Linked DNA regions of Macaca mulatta. The protein of the gene in region 3 binds, or shares a complex with, the protein of the main gene of each other region. Links are inferred from orthologs where the notes say so. Each region holds a gene or a part of one and is shown on either strand. Other genes may lie near its edges.

Evidence for each region.
Region 1: MEFV (region 3) and RIPK1 share a complex: the UniProt entries of both Homo sapiens proteins name them as parts of the AIM2 PANoptosome complex. The link is inferred for Macaca mulatta from reciprocal best matches to the Homo sapiens genes MEFV and RIPK1.
Region 2: MEFV (region 3) and RIPK3 share a complex: the UniProt entries of both Homo sapiens proteins name them as parts of the AIM2 PANoptosome complex. The link is inferred for Macaca mulatta from reciprocal best matches to the Homo sapiens genes MEFV and RIPK3.
Region 4: MEFV (region 3) and AIM2 share a complex: the UniProt entries of both Homo sapiens proteins name them as parts of the AIM2 PANoptosome complex. The link is inferred for Macaca mulatta from reciprocal best matches to the Homo sapiens genes MEFV and AIM2.

What each region holds. Positions count from the first base shown.
Region 1 is NC_133409.1:180,157,628-180,161,729, reverse strand, and holds part of RIPK1 (receptor-interacting serine/threonine-protein kinase 1), read left to right. Parts: intron 1-727; coding exon 728-1,297; intron 1,298-4,102. UniProt on the Homo sapiens protein: Serine-threonine kinase which is a key regulator of TNF-mediated apoptosis, necroptosis and inflammatory pathways.
Region 2 is NC_133412.1:97,455,878-97,460,726, forward strand, and holds the start of RIPK3 (receptor-interacting serine/threonine-protein kinase 3), read right to left. Parts: upstream 3,279-4,849; 5' UTR 3,060-3,278; coding exon 3,040-3,059; intron 2,831-3,039; coding exon 2,690-2,830; intron 2,556-2,689; coding exon 2,246-2,555; intron 1,794-2,245; coding exon 1,648-1,793; intron 1,522-1,647; coding exon 1,475-1,521; intron 1,268-1,474; coding exon 1,100-1,267; intron 990-1,099; coding exon 922-989; intron 707-921; coding exon 332-706; intron 192-331; coding exon 131-191; intron 1-130. UniProt on the Homo sapiens protein: Serine/threonine-protein kinase that activates necroptosis and apoptosis, two parallel forms of cell death. Necroptosis, a programmed cell death process in response to death-inducing TNF-alpha family members, is triggered by RIPK3 following activation by ZBP1.
Region 3 is NC_133425.1:4,489,684-4,494,308, reverse strand, and holds the start of MEFV (pyrin), read left to right. Parts: upstream 1-1,471; 5' UTR 1,472-1,670; coding exon 1,671-1,947; intron 1,948-3,447; coding exon 3,448-4,095; intron 4,096-4,625. UniProt on the Homo sapiens protein: Involved in the regulation of innate immunity and the inflammatory response in response to IFNG/IFN-gamma.
Region 4 is NC_133406.1:107,861,597-107,865,524, forward strand, and holds the end of AIM2 (interferon-inducible protein AIM2), read left to right. Parts: intron 1-35; exon of another isoform or gene 36-348; intron 349-789; exon of another isoform or gene 790-946; intron 947-1,649; exon of another isoform or gene 1,650-1,920; intron 1,921-1,929; coding exon 1,930-2,118; intron 2,119-2,887; coding exon 2,888-2,914; 3' UTR 2,915-3,122; downstream 3,123-3,928. UniProt on the Homo sapiens protein: Sensor component of the AIM2 inflammasome, which mediates inflammasome activation in response to the presence of double-stranded DNA (dsDNA) in the cytosol, leading to subsequent pyroptosis.

The DNA.
Region 1 (4,102 bases), on a different chromosome or scaffold from region 3:
ACTTCACCCATCAAATCATCATCATTGCTCCTCCTCTCATAGGGCTCTTCAAGAATGAAAGAATTCATGGGACGTGCTTAGGACAGAGCTGCTGCAGATTTTTTTTTTTTTTTTTTTTTTTGAGACAGAGTCCCTCTGTCACCCCGGCTGGAGTGCAGTGGTGTGATCTTGGCTCACTATAACCTCTGCCTTTCAGGATCAAGCGATTCTTCTGCCTCAGCCTCCCAAGCAGCTGGGATTACAGGCATGCACCACCATGCCTAGCTAGTTTTTGTATTTTCAGTAGAAACGGGGTTTTGCCATGTTGGCCAGGCTGGTCTCGAACTCCTGACCTCAGGTGATCCGCCCGCCTCGGCCTCCCAACGTGCTGGGATTACAGGCGTGAACACCGTGCCTGGTCGCAGATCTTATTTTCCACCTGAATCGCTCCAAGGAGACAACTACCTTCTCTGCTCCAAACCAAGTCCCTTTTTTCCTTGATCATCCCTGCAACAGCCGCTCTTCTCTTGCTTGCTATAATTTTCCTAGTACTCTCTCACTGCCAGTGAGGAGCTCCTATTATTTGTAAAGCTTGTGGGAAGAGGACCATCTCCTAAATGCTTCGGACTGGTCTCTTACTTATTTTCTGTGCGTCCCTCTGAGATACAGATTCATGATGGCGCTCAGATTTTATTTTACGTTTTAATGTTTCACGAACCCCATTCTAATGTTGATCATTTCTTCTCAGCCACAGAACAGCCTGGTTCACTGCACAGTTCCCAGGGACTTGGGATGGGTCCTGTGGAGGAGTCCTGGTTTGCCCCCTCCCTGGAGCACCAGCAAGAAGAGAATGAGCCCAGTCTGCAGAGTAAACTCCAAGAGGAAGCAAACTACCATCTCTATGGCAGCCGCATGGACAGGCAGATGAAACAGCAGCCCAGACAGAATGTGGCTTACAACAGAGAGGAGGAAAGGAGACGAAGGGTCTCCCATGACCCTTTTGCACAGCAAAGACCTTATGAGAATTTTCAGAATACAGAGGTAAAAGGCACCGCTTATTCTAGTGCAGCCAGTCATGGTAATGCAGTGCCCCAGCCCTCAGGGCTTAGCAGCCAACCTCAAGTGCCATATCGGAACAATGTTTTATATAGCTCACATGGCTTTGGAACAAGACCGCTGGATCCAGGAACAGCAGGTCCCAGAGTTTGGTATGGGCCAATTCCAAGTCCTATGTCTAGTCTGTATAAAATCCCGGTGCCTGAGACCAACTATTTAGGAAACACACCCACGATGCCATTCACCTCCTTGCCACTAACAGGTAAATGGGTCTTTGATAGTCACAACCTTGTCTTTTTTTATTTTTCAGAAAGTAAAGCAACCAACCAGCTCTATTGTAGATTGTGGGTTGTGATGGGGACAGAGGGTATCGTCCACGGCCAGATGCAAGTTGCCGCTGTGGAATGGACTCCGCCAGGCCACTTGGTCTGGGAGTGTTTCATCTGGGGCTAGGATTCATCACACATGTCCACAAGCATCAGGAGGTGCTTGTGACTGGCAGGCGCCTTTGACTCTAATGTGGAGTGCATAGTAGTCCTATTTCACCCAATCTCTGATCAATGGGAAGTTATCTGCTTATTTGCTTTTACCTTGCTTGCTGTTTTTTGAAGATAAGAAATCAGTTTTGGATATTTTTGTTTCTTACCTTATATAGCTCAAAGACTACCATTAGTGATGAAAAACTTTTTTTTAACTCCCATATATCTATCAGGTGAAGTAAAAGGTACGTGATAGTAGTTACTGGCAGTCTAGAATGGAAGTGATTTAATGTAATATCCAGCATTTTTATCAAATAATACTCACCAACATCACCTTAACCACCTGAACGGCATCTACCAGTGATACCCACAAGTGTCCTGGAGATCCTGAAATCAACTCAGGTACAGGAAGCTTTGAGAACCACAGAGCTTAGTTACAATTTCTTTCAAAACGCCAAATTCTCCAAAAACATCCTTTGAAAACATCCTCGATTTTTTCCATAGGTTTTATTATTAAGATCTGTAGAATGCAAAATACTGGATTAGACATTAAGCAGTATCCAAGTCATGTATAATCCTATGAGCAGAATATCCTTTTGTTTCCTTCATGTCTGGGGATAAAATTTTTCATTAGTATTGCCATATCATTTTATTCATTCATGATTAAGTCAATAAAAATTTCAGCTGGGGCCATGGTTGGCCAGGCATGGTGGCTCATGCCTGTAATGCCAGCACTTTGGGAGGCCGAGGTGGGTGGATCATTTGAGGCCAGAAATTTGAGACCAGCCTGGCTAACATGGTGACACCCTGTCTCTACTAAATAATACAGAAATTGGCCAGGCGTGGTGGTGCATGCCTGTAGCCCCAGCTACTAGGGAGGGTGAGGCAGGAAAATCACTTGAACCCTGGAGACAGACGTTACAGTGAGCTGAGATATGCCACTGCACTCCAGCCTGGGAAACAGAGTGAGATTGTGTCTCAGGGAAAAAAAAAAAAATTCTGTAATCCCAGCACTTTGGGAGGCTGAGGCAGGCAGATCACGAGGTGAGGAGATTGAGACTATCCTGGCTAACACAGTGAAACCCCATCTCTACTAAAAATACAAAAAAAAACAAAAAAACAAAAAAAATAGCTGGGCATAGTGGCACGCGCCTGTAATCCCAGCTACTCGGGAGGGTGAGGCAGGAGAATCACTTGAACCTGGGAGGCAGAAGTTGCAGTGAGCCGAGATCGCATCACTGCACTCCAGCCTGGGTGACAGAGCGAGACTCCATCTCAAATAAAGAAAAGAAAAAAGAAAAAAAAAAATCCAAAGCACTTCCCACTTTGTGCCATGCAGTTCTCCAGGCACTGGAGCTATAACTGAGCCAACAGCCTGAGTGAGTCCCTTCCCTCATATAGTTTAAATCCTAGTAGACAGAAGGCAGACCCTAAACCAATATTTAATGTGTAATTTTTTATCTTCTTTCTACATGAGCAACCCAAATACACTAGTTTAGTGCCAAAATCGCTTTCTGTTTTCACTCTTGCTGTGGTTCCTGATTCTGCCAGTGACAGATGTACAGGCATCCAGCTTCTTCAGGATTCTGAGATGCTTTCAGGGGGGAGGGGGCACTTGGATCTATAATAAATAATAGAATTTTCTGTGTTTCTGCTCCCAAAGATGATCCTGCTAAGTACTGAGCTAGTAAATGAACACGCTGAGTTTCTCCTTGCAAATTTAAATAAGTCTTTTGCTTGCTTTTGTTATCAAAATGTCCTAACTCTGTACCAAAATGTGAGTTTTCTAATTTGCCATACCATAGAAGAAGGGTGTGTGTATCCAGTAAGTACAAAAGGAAAATAAAAGTCTTCGTCTCAGTGAAAGAGCTCCTAGACCCACTGTTTCTATTCACTGTGCTGTTTGAAGTGAGGTTAGAAAAGGGAAGCTCACTGGGCTAGGGGTCAGGAGACCCAAGTCGAGTCCTGCGTGTGCCAGTCACTGCAGTGGGTGACTTTGGGAAAGTCGTTTGCCTTTCCAGAGTTCATTCTCCTCAATTATCAATGAAAATGTTACGAGTGAAAATTTATACATTGTAAGCTCTAGTGTGTTTCTAATATTGCATTCGTTGCTCCGTTTCATAACTTTCATGGCTTTTCCAGTGGCCAGATTTGGGCAGAAAGCACTGATTCAAGAAAACAAATCTCCAAGTAGAGAGGTGCAGGGTAGACCTCCATGTAAGCCCATGGTGAACGCAGACTGTGAGTGACAAACACAGTGTCAGTACAAGCTGGAGGTGGTGGGCCAGGAGGATTCAACAGGGTAAGGCAGCTTAGCACTGTGCCTGCCGATGCACAGAATAAGTGCTCAGTAAATGGTAGCTGCTGTTATTAGCACTGTTATTATCACTGTTAACAAGAACACCTAGACAGCCTTGAGTGCTGGAAGGTACCTCAGAGACTGTCACAGCGGTTCCTTGCTAGGATTCCAAGGACCCCAGTTTCAGCAGCTTCATAAACACCCAGAACTACATACAGATGGTGTGTGCGTGCACATCCTATATTTCTTACACCTGTCTCTAGAGAGGGTCCCTAGTTTCCTTGGCTTC
Region 2 (4,849 bases), on a different chromosome or scaffold from region 3:
TGAAATGAGGTTGAGTTAGATCATCTTCTCCCCTCGCCTCCAGAAAGTACCCTGAATCTAGATATAGATCTGGAGGAGGAGTCTCATGGAAGAATTGAACAGGGAAAAGAAAGAGGTGGAGAGTGGGTACCTGTTACTGGATTTGGCTCCGGGGTCCTGGAGGACCAGTTCATGCCATGTCTCTCAGCGCCCTGCAAACATCACAGAGCATCCAGTTCTGTCCTGGAGCCTGGACCGCCCAGTGCACTCCTCTCAGCCCCAAGTTTTGCCTGGCAAGGGGACAGCATTTATAGGACTCTTAGTGCATCCCCTAATCCTGCCAATGTCTCACCTGATTCCCCTGGGGTCCAGGACTTGGTGTTCCAGTTGATGTGGGGCTGGGCATCTGGTTTCTGAAAGTTGAGGTCTCTGGAGTCTGGGGAGGTTGGGCCACTGAATCTGAAGATGTCCCTGCTGTCCTGGCTTGCAGAACCTGCTCCTCTTGTGCCCTGCTCCTCTTGGTAAGGCTCGGGTATTTTTCAGGAACAGAGCTGGGAGACCCCTCTAGATTCAGTTTGTTTAGCAGCTCAGAAACCATGACATCATTACGAGAGTGTTGGTTTCCTGTGGTTCTCCTAAAGCCATCCATTTCTGTCCCTCCTTGGCCTGACTCGGGGGTAGAAAATCTCGGATTGCTGCTCCTGAGCTCAGATAGGAAATTCTTTACCTGCAGGGATGGGAGGAGTTTGCTGGGTATGACTTGGATGAGCCAGAGTAAACCCAAGGGAGTAGTCTCTTGGAACTCAGGGGTGGGCTGGGGAGGGTGAGGACAAAGGTCAAGGCATAAAAAAGCTGTGGTTAATGGTGAGTCATTGGATGGCCAGGTAGCCATGTTGTGCCATCCCTGACCAGCTCCTGGAGAGGGGTGATGTTGGCGCTCACTGTGGAGACAGCAGCATTTATATTGTTCTCCACCATCTGGAAGGCTTCATCAGTTTTTGGTAGGCATTCTAGAGGGACAGCAGAGTGGGTTGCAGGTGAGCAAATCTTCTTTTCCTGAGGAAAGCCCCATGCTGACAGACCCAAGCTTACCCCAGATCCAGCTAATTGGCCAGCTCACCCTGGAAGGAGGGTCTGTCCTTGGGCTCACTGCTCCAGCAGAGCTGCATTAGCTCCTTCAGTCCTTCTAAGCCGGGAGTCTCAGGCCCAGCTTGGGGCAGCTCAGTCAATGAGGGCCGGGTCTGCCTCCTGCACACTGCTCCACACACCAGTGATGCTTCTGTTGGCACTGGAGTAGGGGAGGAGGGTGAGAAGAGAAGGCATTCAGGGTAAAAGGGAATATCTGCTCCATCATGGAAAGAGGCAGGGAGTGTAATGTGGGAGCACAAGGATGGAGGAGGGCAGTCTTAGTAGGTGAGCAGGAAGGGGAAGCTTTGGGGCTTTCAAGAGAAGGGCACCTGGGGTTAAGGATCCCAGAATCCGCCTAGAGTCTTACACTCAGCTTCTCTTCCAGCAAGCACTGCCCACATTAGGATCCCGAAGCTGCAGGAGACACAAAGCTGAGGACCAGTCCAATCACTGGCAAGACTCCTTTCCTATACATCACCCCCTGGGAGGGCCCAGAGAAGTGTAGGAATCCCGGCTGTGTGTTTGGGCTGGGATCCTTACCTGTAGACATCACTGGCTGTGGAGGCCTTCCGGTTTACATTAACAAACAGTTCTGGGGCCAAGTAGCCCAGGGTGCCCCCTGGCTCCCTGGATGCTGTCCCTGACTGTGAGCCTCCCTGAAATGTGGACAGGCCAAAATCTGCCAGCTGCAAAGGAAGGAAAGAAGTGGGAGGTAGGGAAGACAAGGGGGCCAGGCAGCCTCCAGAAACCCCCTTGCCCCCAGAAGGTTCAGGTTCAGCTTTGTAAAGGGAGTGTGGAGGTCAAGGGAAGAGGCTCCCTTGGATAGTAGATCTAGGTGCCTGTGGTAGGGCTGGGTCAAGGTGTGAGTCTCCAGGGCTGGGTCAGCCATGACTCTTTGGAGGGGTTGGTGGGGCAGCTGGTGGAAATGACTCGTGTGGGTCGGGGCCTCTATCACCTGGTATGGCAGGAGCTAAAACTCCTGGCTGGGCTTTGTGCCCTGGCAGCCCTGTGTCCAGAGGGAGAGGCTACGCCTATTCAATAGACAGGGCTCTGGAGGTCTGGTGTCCAGTGGGCCTGGCTGGAGCTGCTCTGGGGTGGGACCTTGTCCTGAGGCTGAGAGGGGTGTAGAGCAGCTGACCTTGACGTGCAGCTCTGGGTCCAGCAGGACATTGGATGGCTTGAGGTCCCGGTGCAGGAGCACCGGGTTCTGGTTGTGCAGGTAAAACATCCCAAGCACCACTTCTTTCAGCAGGCGGCAAAGCAGCGGCCAGGGCCTAGGGCACTCGGGCTGCAGCAGCCGGGACAGGGAGCCGTTCTCCATGAATTTAGTCACCAGAGCCGGCTTGGGCACGTGGTCCCAGTTCACCTTCTCGATGACCCCTTCTAGGCGCAGCACGAATTCGTTATCCAGACTTGCCATGGCCTTGACTTCCCTGGATATCGCCTTCCTACACTCCAGGAGAGAGCTGGAGTCACCCGGGGTCGTGGGAAAAATCCCTCCATTCCCCATTCAGGCCCCAGAGCACAGTGGCTCCACCTTTTTGGCCAGATTGCGGCCGGGGGGGCAACAGGGGTCACTCACGAGTTTACAATCTTGACCGCCACATCGTAGCCCCACTTCCTATATCGCGCCCGGAACACTGTGCCGAACCCGCCTCTGCCGACGAACTCCTGGTTTTCCAGTTCCTCGATGGACACCAAGGAGGCGGAGGCACCACTGGGCCTGAGACAGGGGTGTCGCCCACTAGCCGGCAGTGCCCTACGCCAGCGCTGCTCCCCGCGCCCCTGTGACTCGGCGCTCTTACTGCAATCCCCGGCCTCTCTCGCCGGCCCCCACCGTCTCCAGACTCAAAGGCGTTCTCTGAGCGAGTCCGTGGGGCGCTCTGGGTGTGAATGTCGGAGGCTGCGATCGACATGCCACTCCCTACTCACCATAACTTGACGCACGACATCAGGCTGGAAGGTGCGAGGGGGCCTCTGGAGATTGCGAGCAGTAGGAGATGGAATGACTTCTGGGGCTGCGGTCTTTGGCAGAGAGGGGAAGGGATCTGTCTCTGCAGGGATCAGTCTCTAGACCAGGACGGTGACTCCACTTTCCGGGTTGCTACCCGTATTCTGAGTTGACTGAACAACTTCCCTTACAGGCGCCTCTACAGTCCCGCCCCTGGGGTGGGGCAGGGGGCAAAGTGAAAGCTAGTGTCTTTCTCCCTGACTAGCGTTTCCTGAGTGCCTGCCGCATGCAGCGGCCAGGTTAGGTGTGGCAATGGGTCCTCACCTTCCAGGAACCCACAATCAACCCACTCCTACAGTCAAAGCCTTCTCTTTTCCCACAGGATTTCCTGCTCCACCACCTGCCAGGCCATGAGTGGAGATGGTGCTTAGGCAGGTTTTATGGTTTTGGGGCTCAGCTCTCTCATAGCTGCCCTAAGATCATAGCCAATGCATATATAAAACTTATCATGCACCAGGTACATAGATTAGCTTATTTAATTCTCACACGAACCCTAAGGGGATAGGTACTGCTTTTATTACCTTTCTATAGATGAGGAAACTGAGACACTGAGAGTTTAAGTACCTTGCCTAAGCCCATATGGAAATAATGGCTCTGAACCATCAAGTTATCCTGTTTTCACATCATAGGTTTCAGGGCTGTTTTCACATAGGTTTCACCTGTTTTCACACAGGTTGCAGGACCACTCAGCTGGTCCTGCAGGAGGCTGGGAAAGTTGTGAAGCATCCAACGATGTAGTGAAGGATCCCTATTTGTATTCCTTGGGACTTATATGTTCATAGGGACTTACATGCCCTATGAACAGGAGCTCCTTGAGCTGGCAGACCCCAAACCCACTCCAAGGGCATTGTGGTAAGGCTAGATATACCAGCCCATCCAGCAAGTTGGTGACATTGTGGTGTACACTGCAGTGGAAACAATTCAGAGCTTTCCTGCCCTCTCCTTTGCATGACAACTCTTGCATGCAAATACCCTAATTAATGTTCCTGACAAGCACATGCTCTGGACACAGGCTTTTGATAACCCAGAAGCATGGAGAGTCTTAAAGATTTAGGGCAGAAAAAAGGTGTCCATATTTTACCTTTTGGAGGTCTGACCATGACTGGAGGTTGTGGGAACCCGATAGGGCCAGCCCTAGGCACTCAGTCCTTCACAGGGATACTCAACCCTGTGGGTTGTGTGTTGGCTTTCACTAAAAGGTGCTCACCTTGGTACTTGCTTTCCATTTTGTCCAGTGGTCCATGGGCTCTTCTGGTTGAGGCAGAAGTGATCAGCAGTTTTTTCTAGAACAACTCCTGGAGAGCTACACCATGGCTTCTGGTAGGGTCAGCTCATGCTATTTTGGAGCTATTTAGGGAATTGTTCAACTGTAGTCTCTTTAAAAGCCAATACATGGCAGATACCCAATAAATATTTGTTGAATTGAATGAATAAATGAACAACCAAAAATATTAAGCCTCTTTTAAGGCACTGATCATCCTAGATGGAGCTCCATACTCAGTAGGAGGAAAGAGGAGATCGGGTTCCTATAGGGACTGAGGGCTCTCACCTGCACAGTTCATGAAATCCGTCTGAAGTAGGCTTTAGTATAGAGATATGGTGGTATCACACAGAATCCAAGAAGGCAAGAAGTGTAGCAGGTCCTCAGAAAAGCCTAGAGTCAGAAGCTGAGAACCATCAAAAGGGGTAGCCACTCCCTTTGTGATTCTTTTTGGAGAGAATAACCCAGGC
Region 3 (4,625 bases):
AAGTCACTAAGCTACAGATTCTTGGCTGCAGAGGAGGATGATAAATGCAGTCCTGCAGGGTACAGTCCTAGAGATTCTAGGAGGTAGTGTTTATAAAGCAAGTGGTGGCTGGTGCAGAGGAAGTGCTGGTGAAGGGTAAACTGCATTATTAACAAAACTTCTGGACGGGCACAGTGGCCAGATTACAGGGATTACACACCTGTAATCCCAGCACTTTGGGAGGCCAAAGCGAGTGGATCGCTTGAGCTCAGGAGTTCAAGACCAGCCTGTGCAACATAGTGAGACCCTGTCTCTATAAAAAAATACAAAAATTAGCCGGATGTGGTGGCATGCAGCTGTAGTCCCAGCGACTTGGGAGGCTGAGGTTGGAGGGTTGCTCAAGCCCAGGAGGCAGAAGTTGCATTGAGCCAAGATCCTGCCACTGCACTGCAGCCTGAGTGACTGAGCAAGACCCTATCTAAAAACAAAAAATTAAAAAATTAGGGTATGCAAGTAATTTTTTATTTTTTTGAGACAAAGTCCTGCTCTGTCGCCCAGGCTGGAGTACAATGGCACAATCTCGGCTCACTGCAACATCCGCCTCCCGCGTTTAAGCGATTCTCCTGCCTCAGCTTCCCGAGTAGCTGGGAATACAGGCGCGTGCCACCATGCCTGGCTAATTTTTGTATTTTTAGTAGAGATGGGGTTTTACTATGTTGGCCAGGCTGGTCTTGAACTCCCAACCTGAGGTGATCCACTCACCTTGGCCTCCCAAAGTGCTGGGATTACAGGCGTGAGCCACCACGTCCAGCCCCCGACATGTAACTTCTGTTAGCTTCAAAGCCACCTCTGGGGCCCTGCACCAGACTATGAGCTGAAGGACACCCGTGCCTTTTCACCCCTGTAGCTCCAGCATCCTGGCACACTGTCTAGAATGTTCAGTGAATGTGCACGGAAGGGCATTCTGGCTCCAGGGAGTGAGAACTGAGTCAGCTCTGGGAACAGATGAGTCAGGCTGGTGGTCGAGGCATTGCTTTTCAAGCCCTTCATGTGGCTGGAAGAACCAGACAACTGGAACTGGATCAACAGGGGTGATGGCGTGGCAAGAGTTATCCCCCGGCAGTGCCCTTCTGGCCTCACTTGCCTTCTTGGGCCAGGAAAGGCAAAGCTCACGGGGCTGTATTTACTGCCCACCCCTTCCCCCATCCCATGCCATTGGCTCTGGAGGGTCTGTGAAACCCTGAGTCTGGAGGAGAACAGTTGACCAGCAGGGCTGGCCCTCAGCATAGTCCTCTCTGTTCCCATTCACCCGCTCTGCCAGCCCCAGATCCTGGCAGGAAGGGAGATTGGAGGGGTTGTCTGGAATCCAATCCTAGACCTTCCCTTGCAGACTTGCCCACCTGTCTGTGGTCTAGTGTGGAGATGAGGTCCAGGGTTTGGGAGGGGTGTGGGGACAGATGTCTGCCAAGGCACTGAGCCCTCCCAGCTGGAAAATCCTCTGAACCTGTGAGAAGAGAACACAGCCAGCATGGACACACCCTTACCCTTAGTCTCAGTTCCCACCAAGACACAGAGCATTTCCTGTGCCTTTTCCGCTATTTCACAACCTGCTTTTTCTTGCTCACCAAGGTAGAGGCTTCTTCTCCTGCCAGAAGCCAGACAGCTAGCTCCAGCGTCTCCTGCTCAGCGCCATGGCCAAGACCCCTAGTGACCATCTGCTGTCCACCCTGGAGGAGCTGGTGCCCTATGACTTTGAGAAGTTCAAGTTCAAGCTGCAGAACACCAGTGTGGAGAAGGAGCACTCCAGGATCCCCCGGAGCCAGATCCAGAGAGCCAGGCCAGTGAAGATGGCCAGTCTGCTGGTCACCTACTACGGGGAAGAGTACGCTGTGCGGCTAACCCTGCAGGTCCTGCGGGCCATCAACCAGCGCCTGCTGGCTGAGGAGCTCCACAGGGCAGCCGTTCAGGGTAAGCGGGCCCAGGCTGCCTCCTCACCCAGCACTGAGGCCTGGTTGCTTTGTGGGAAAAGGGACCAGGAGCTCAGAGCAGCTCACTCTGACTTGGGGGTCGGGAGTCTCAGGTCTACCAAGATCCAGGTGACTTTAGTTCAGGAACGTCCCTTCCTTCACTCTGGCTTTTGGCACTGGGTTAGTAAACTTCCTTAAGGCTCCCAATGGGTTTTAAAGAAGCAGGTCAGGGTCAGGAAAGGCAGGAGCTGGAGCACCTATTCTTTGAGACTTCTTCACTTCATTTATGATTAATACTCATGTCAGACAAACATCTCTAGGTTAGCAAAAAGGGATTGCTATGCAATCGTATGAACGGGGCTGGTATAGAATCTTTTCAGTGCTGTTCACCATGTTGGCCAGGCTGGTCTCAAACTCCCGACCTCAAGTGATCCTCCCGCCTCAGCCTCCCAAAGTGCTGGGATTTCAGGCATGGACCACCGTGCCTGGTTTATTTTTATTTTTGAAATGTATAATCTGGGTTTTGCTGACCTGTGTAAGATCTTATTTGAAACAGTTGTCCTGCTTACAACGTTTGAAAAGTACTATTTGAGGAATACATGGTGGCTCACACTTATAATCTCAGCACTCTGGGAGGCTAAAGTGGGTAGATTGCTAGAGCTCAGGAGTTCGAGACCAGCCTGGCCAACATGGTGAAACCCTGTCTCTACCAAAAATACAAAAAAAAGAGCCAGGTGTGGTGGCACACACCTGTATTCTCAGCTATTGAAAAAACAGAAAACAGGCTGATGTGAGAGGATCGCTTGAGCCTGGGAGGCAGAGGTTGCAGTGAGCCGAGATCACATCAGGGCCACAGAACAAGATCCGGTCTCAAAAAATAAAATAAGAGAGAGATAAATATGTAGCAACATCAAGCATGTTCTTACTGAATGGTAATTGACTGCCGTTGTCTAGGAAGTCCTGAACTTTTGTTTTTGAAATGGAGTCTCGCTTTGTCACTCAGGCTGGAGAGCAGTGGGGCAATCTCAGCTCACTGCAACCTCCACATCCCAGGCTCAAGCGATTCTCATGCCTCAGCCTCCAGAGTAGCTGGGACTACAGGTGCACACCACCACGTCTGGCTAAATTTCGTATTTTTAGTAGGAACGTGGTTTTGCCATGTTGGCCAGGCTGGTCTCGAACTCCTGACCTCAAATGATCCTCCCAACTTGGCCTCCCGAGAAGCTAGGATTACAGGCATATGCCACCACGCTCAGCTTATTTTTGTATTTTTAGTAGAGACAGGGTTTCACCCTGCTGGTCTTGAACTCCTGACCTCAGGTGATCCTCCCGCCTCAACCTCCCAGAGTGCTGGGAATACAGGCATGAGCCACCGTGCCCGGCCCGTTTTTTCCTCCATTTCTAAAGTTTAATATCCATGGGGATTCTCTCTCCTCTCCCCTGAATCTTGGGCCCTAAACGTGGGACAGCTTCATGACTTTGTAGCTGGTTGTCTTTCCAGAATATTCCACACAAGAAAATGGCACAGACGATTCCGCAGCGTCCAGCTCCCTGGAGGAGAACAAGCCCGGGAGCCTGAAGACTCCAGACCACCCCGAGGGGAAGGAGGGAAAGGAGGGGAACGGCCCTCGGTCGTGCGGGGACTGGGCTGCCAGCCTGCGGTACAGCCAGCCCGAGGCCGGGAGGGGGCTGTCAAGGAAGCCCTTGAGCAAACGCAGAGAGAAGGCCTCGGAGAGCCTGGACGTGCAGGGCAAGCCTCGAACCCGGAGCCCGGCCCTGCCGGGCGGGAGAAGCCCCGGCCCCAGCCCCTGCAGGGCGCCAGAGCCAGGCCAGGCCGAGGTCCTCCTGCGCAGGAACGCCAGCTCCGCGGGGAGGCTGCAGGGGCTGGCGGGGGGCGCGCCAGGGCGGAAGGAGTGCAGGCTCTTCGAAGTGTACCTGCCCTCGGGAAAGAAGCGGCCTAAAAGCCTTGAGTTCACCATTTCCACAGGGGAGAAGGCGCCCCCAAATCCAGAAACTCTCCTGACTGTAGAGGAAACGACAGCTGCGAATCCGGACTCGGCAACAGGCGCTCAGGCAAGGCCCACTCCGGATGGAGGGGCGTCTGCGGACCTGGAGAAAGGCCCTGGGAATCCAGAACATTCGGTCACCGGTAAATTGTGTTTTTTCCTACTTTATATCGGCTGCAAAGAAAGAACAGCTGGCGGGGCACGATAGCTCATGCCTGTAATCCCGGCACTTTGGGAGGCCAGGGCTGGAGGATTGCTGAGGCCAAGAGTTTGAGACCAGTCTGGTGAACATAGTGAGACCCCCGCCATGTCTATAAATAAAATTAAAAAAATAAAAACCCAAAGGTTGGACAGGGCGCCATAGCTCACGCCTGTAATCCCAGAGCTTTGAGAGGCCTGAACGGGAGGATCTCTTGACCCCAGGAGTTCCATACTAGCCTAGGCAACACAGTGAGACCCCATCTCTACAAAAAATACAATAGTAGCACTTGCCTGTAGTCCCAGCTGCTCGGGCTCACTTGAGCAGGGGGAGTTCCAGGCTACAGTGAGCTGAGATCATGCCAGTACACTCCAGCCTGAGCAACGTAGCAAGATTCCACTTCTACAAAACTAAAAAAAAAAATTAGCTGGGTGTGGTGGCACATGCCTGTAATTCTAGCTACTCGAGAAGCTG
Region 4 (3,928 bases), on a different chromosome or scaffold from region 3:
GAACTGTGATTAAATGAAGAAAACAGAAGAAAGAGTTAGCTTGAGGAGACTTATTTATTTCTTTCTTTTTAATTAAAAGTAAACTTTAATGTCGAAAATGCAAACTTGGGGAAGACAGAAAAGATCACATACAAGGCTATCACTTCACACTTGGAAGGTTCCACAGCGGCTGGCGCTCCTCACTTCCCAGACGGTGGGGCGGCCGGGCAGAGGCCCTCTTCACTTCTCAGACGGTGGGGCGGCCGGGCAGAGGCCCTCTTCACTTCCCAGACGGTGGGGCGGCCGGGCAGAGGCCCTCTTCACTTCTCAGACGGTGGGGTGGCCGGGCAGAGGCACTCCTCGAGGAGACTTATTAGAAGTGAGAAATAATAAAGTATTATGACTCTGAGCTTCAGGGAACTAGCCTTGTGGAATGACTTTTTCTGGTCTAGGGCAGGACCTGAAGAACCGTAGAGAGGGAACCTGCTGCCCCTGCATTCAGAGCCTCAGAATAACCTCTGCTGCCCTGGGTTAGTTTTAGAAGGAATTGATAGGAAGACTCTCCAGTCCTCTTGGAAACTCAAGTGTAAAATGACCTTGGATAGGAAGGTCATGTTCTTTGTCCCAGTTTTCAGCTTTTAATCTGGCCACTAACATATATTGATTTAGTCCATAAAATTAAAGCTAAAATACGATCAATCTCCGAAATAACTGACCAACCTCCTATTTCCTTTTGATCTAGACTTGATTGTGCATTATTTCTTGTCTTTGATTACTTACTAGACTCTCAGCTGGATCTTGCATCATTACCTCATGTCTCTCCTGGACTTGTTGTTTTAAATAGCTGTCTTCAGGCTGGGCACGGCAGCTCATGCCTGTAATCCTAGCACTTTGGGAGGCCAAGGCGGGTGGATCGCCAGAGTTGAGGAGTTCCAGATCATCCTGGCCAATGTGGCAAAACCTGTCTCTAGTAAAAATACAAAAATTAGCCGGGTGTATTGGTAGGGACCTATATATAATCCCAGCTACTCTGGAGGCTGAGGCAGGAGAATGGCTTGAACCCAGTGGGGTGGAGGTTGCAGTGAGCCAAGATTGCGCCATCGCACTCCAGCCTGGGTGAAGGAGCGAAACTCTGTTTCAAAAAATAAAAAAATAAAAAAAATAGCTCTCTTCCAACCCCAGGGTCTTCTTTTTTCCCCTGACTAATCTGGCTACTGGCCCTGGAGAAGCTCCATCCTCTCTATCCAGCAGTTGTTGCTTCTATGGGCCACCCTGGCCTCCTCCTAAAGGAAGGGAGTTTGGGACTGGAAAGATGGGCATAGGAGACAGCATATTCTAAGTAAGACACGTCTGCCTCCTCTGTGTGAACTTGCTAACATCTATTAGATATATACCTGCTAGTTTCAAAGCAGAAACTTTTTCTTCAAGTTGACCCTTGAACAATGTAGGGATTAGGGCTGCTGACCCCGAGCAGTCGAAAATCTGCATATAATTTTTGATTCCCCAAAAACTTAACTACTTAATAGCCTACTCTTGACCAGAAGCCTTACAGACAATATAAACAGTCACTTAACACATTTTTGTGTTATACATATTATATACTATATTCTTAAAAAGTGAGGTAGAGAAAAATGTTATTAAGAAAATCACAAAAAAGAAAATATACTGACTATTCATTAAGTGGCAGTAGATCATCAAAGTTCTTCATCACTGTCTTCATGTTAAGTAGACTGAGGAGGAAGGAGGAAGAGGAGGGTTGCTCTTGCCGTCTTGGGGTGGCAGAGACAGAGGAAAATTCCCATGTAAATGGACCTGCACAGGTAAAATCTGTGTTGTTCAAGAATTAACTGTATTTCTTTTTAGAGCCTTCTTCTGGCATGTCTGATGTGTGACTGATGTGGCATTCCTTAATCAGATTATCAGAGGCTGGATGTTGATTTTCTTTTACAGGTAACAGAAAAGAAGAAAAATGTATTATTTGACCTAAGTGACAAGACTGGGGAAATGGAAGTATTGGTGGTTAGAAACGAGGACACAATGCAATGTAAGGAAGGAGATAAGGTTCGACTTACATTCTTCACACTGTCAAAAAATGGAGAAAAACCGCAGCTGACATCTGGAGTTCATAGCACCATAAAGGTGGGAACTGCATGGAGCAAAGTCAACTCTCCAAGGGGGTGATATGTTTTGCTTTCTGTCAGGAAGCTGGACTGGAGCCATTGAACAGGATATGGAATGGAAGACATTGATATTTAGTACACGTCCATCTCCCAGAACTGAGAAACCTCCCTCTTAGGAAACACATATTCTAGATACACAGTTAAGAGAACATGGGCTTTTCAAGGCAGAGGCGCATACTGTTATGCACACAGAGCCCAAGAAAGAGCTCCTCAGTAACACTACAAGTCTAAAGCAGAAAGCTTGCCCAGAGTTGGAAAAGTCATTCTGAGTAATGTCTTTGAAAGTAGACACACAATAGATACTTTGAGGACACATTTCCCTAGCCAGTCCCACCACGCCTGCACCTACCATAGTCCAGGGCACTTGAGTCCATGTAAACCCCTACTCTTGACCTTCCACCACACCCTCCTACCCATCTCCTGCCACTAGTTGGTGCTCTTCCCCAAGTCTCAGGGTCGGTTGTACTACCTGCTGTCTCTGTAGGAGTAGAGGCCAAGACTTGAGAAATATGCATATATGACCTTGCTAAGTTGGAGTGTATTTCTCAGGTCAGATATTCACTTTGGGAGTATGATCCAAGACAAACCAATGTATTAGAAGGGTGGGAACAAAATAATTTTATCAGAAGGTGATATACACTTTAGAAGGCCATAGTGACTGCAAACAGAGGAGGGGCCACTTATTGACCGCATCTCAGACTGCATGTTTTTTTTTTTTCTCCATCCAGGTTATTAAGGCCAGTAAAAAAACATAGAGAAATAAAAAGGACCAATTCAAGCCGACTGGTCTAAGCAGCATTTAATTGAAGAATACGTGATACATCTTCTTCAATCAGATTGTAAGTTACCTGAGAGCAGCAGTTCACAGGCTCCTCTCTCCACCAAATTAGGATAGGATAATTGCTGGATAAACAAATTCAGAATATCAACAGATGATCACAATAAACATCTGTTTCTCATTCATTACAGTATCTCATTTAGTTTGTCAATCCCTTGTCTCAAGCAAAAATACTTTATCAATGTATTATATATTTATACAAATGTAAAAGTAAACTACATGACAACAATTGCACAAAATACAAGAGGGAAGAATTAGGAGTATACTGTTAGAAGATCCTGTACAACCTGTGAAGCAGTGCAGTATTATTTGAAAGTAGATACTGCATAATTAAAAATGTATATTTTGTCCCATAGGGCAATGATTTAGAAATATTTTAAAAGGTATATAAATAATAAGACAATTTGTGTTATTGGAGAAAGAATAAGCATAAAGCCTAACGGAAAACTAGAGAGCCAAAACTAGGCTTGTAAATTTACAGTCTATTGATTTTCTACAAAAGTACAAACACAGTTCAATGGAGAAAAGACTAAAATAAAGTACAAGAACAATTAGATACCTGTACTTAAAAAAACAAATCTGAGCCATTCCTCACTCTTTATACAAAAATAAAGTCCAAATGGATCATTGGCTTTTCATAAACATCCAAAACCATAAAACTTCTAGAAGACATGGGAGAAAATCTGTGTGATCTTGGTCTAGGGAAAGATTAAAGATTTTTTAGATATCACACCAGAAGCACAATCTACATAACATAAATGCTTAATAATTTGAACTTCATCAAAATGAAGAACTTCTGTTCTTCAAAAGGTACCATTAAGAGCATTGAAAGGCAAACCATAGATTGTGGCTTAATATTTGTTAGTCACATAGCTGCTGAAGACCCTGTATCCAGGCCAGGCACAGTGGCTCACGCCTGTAATCCCAGCAC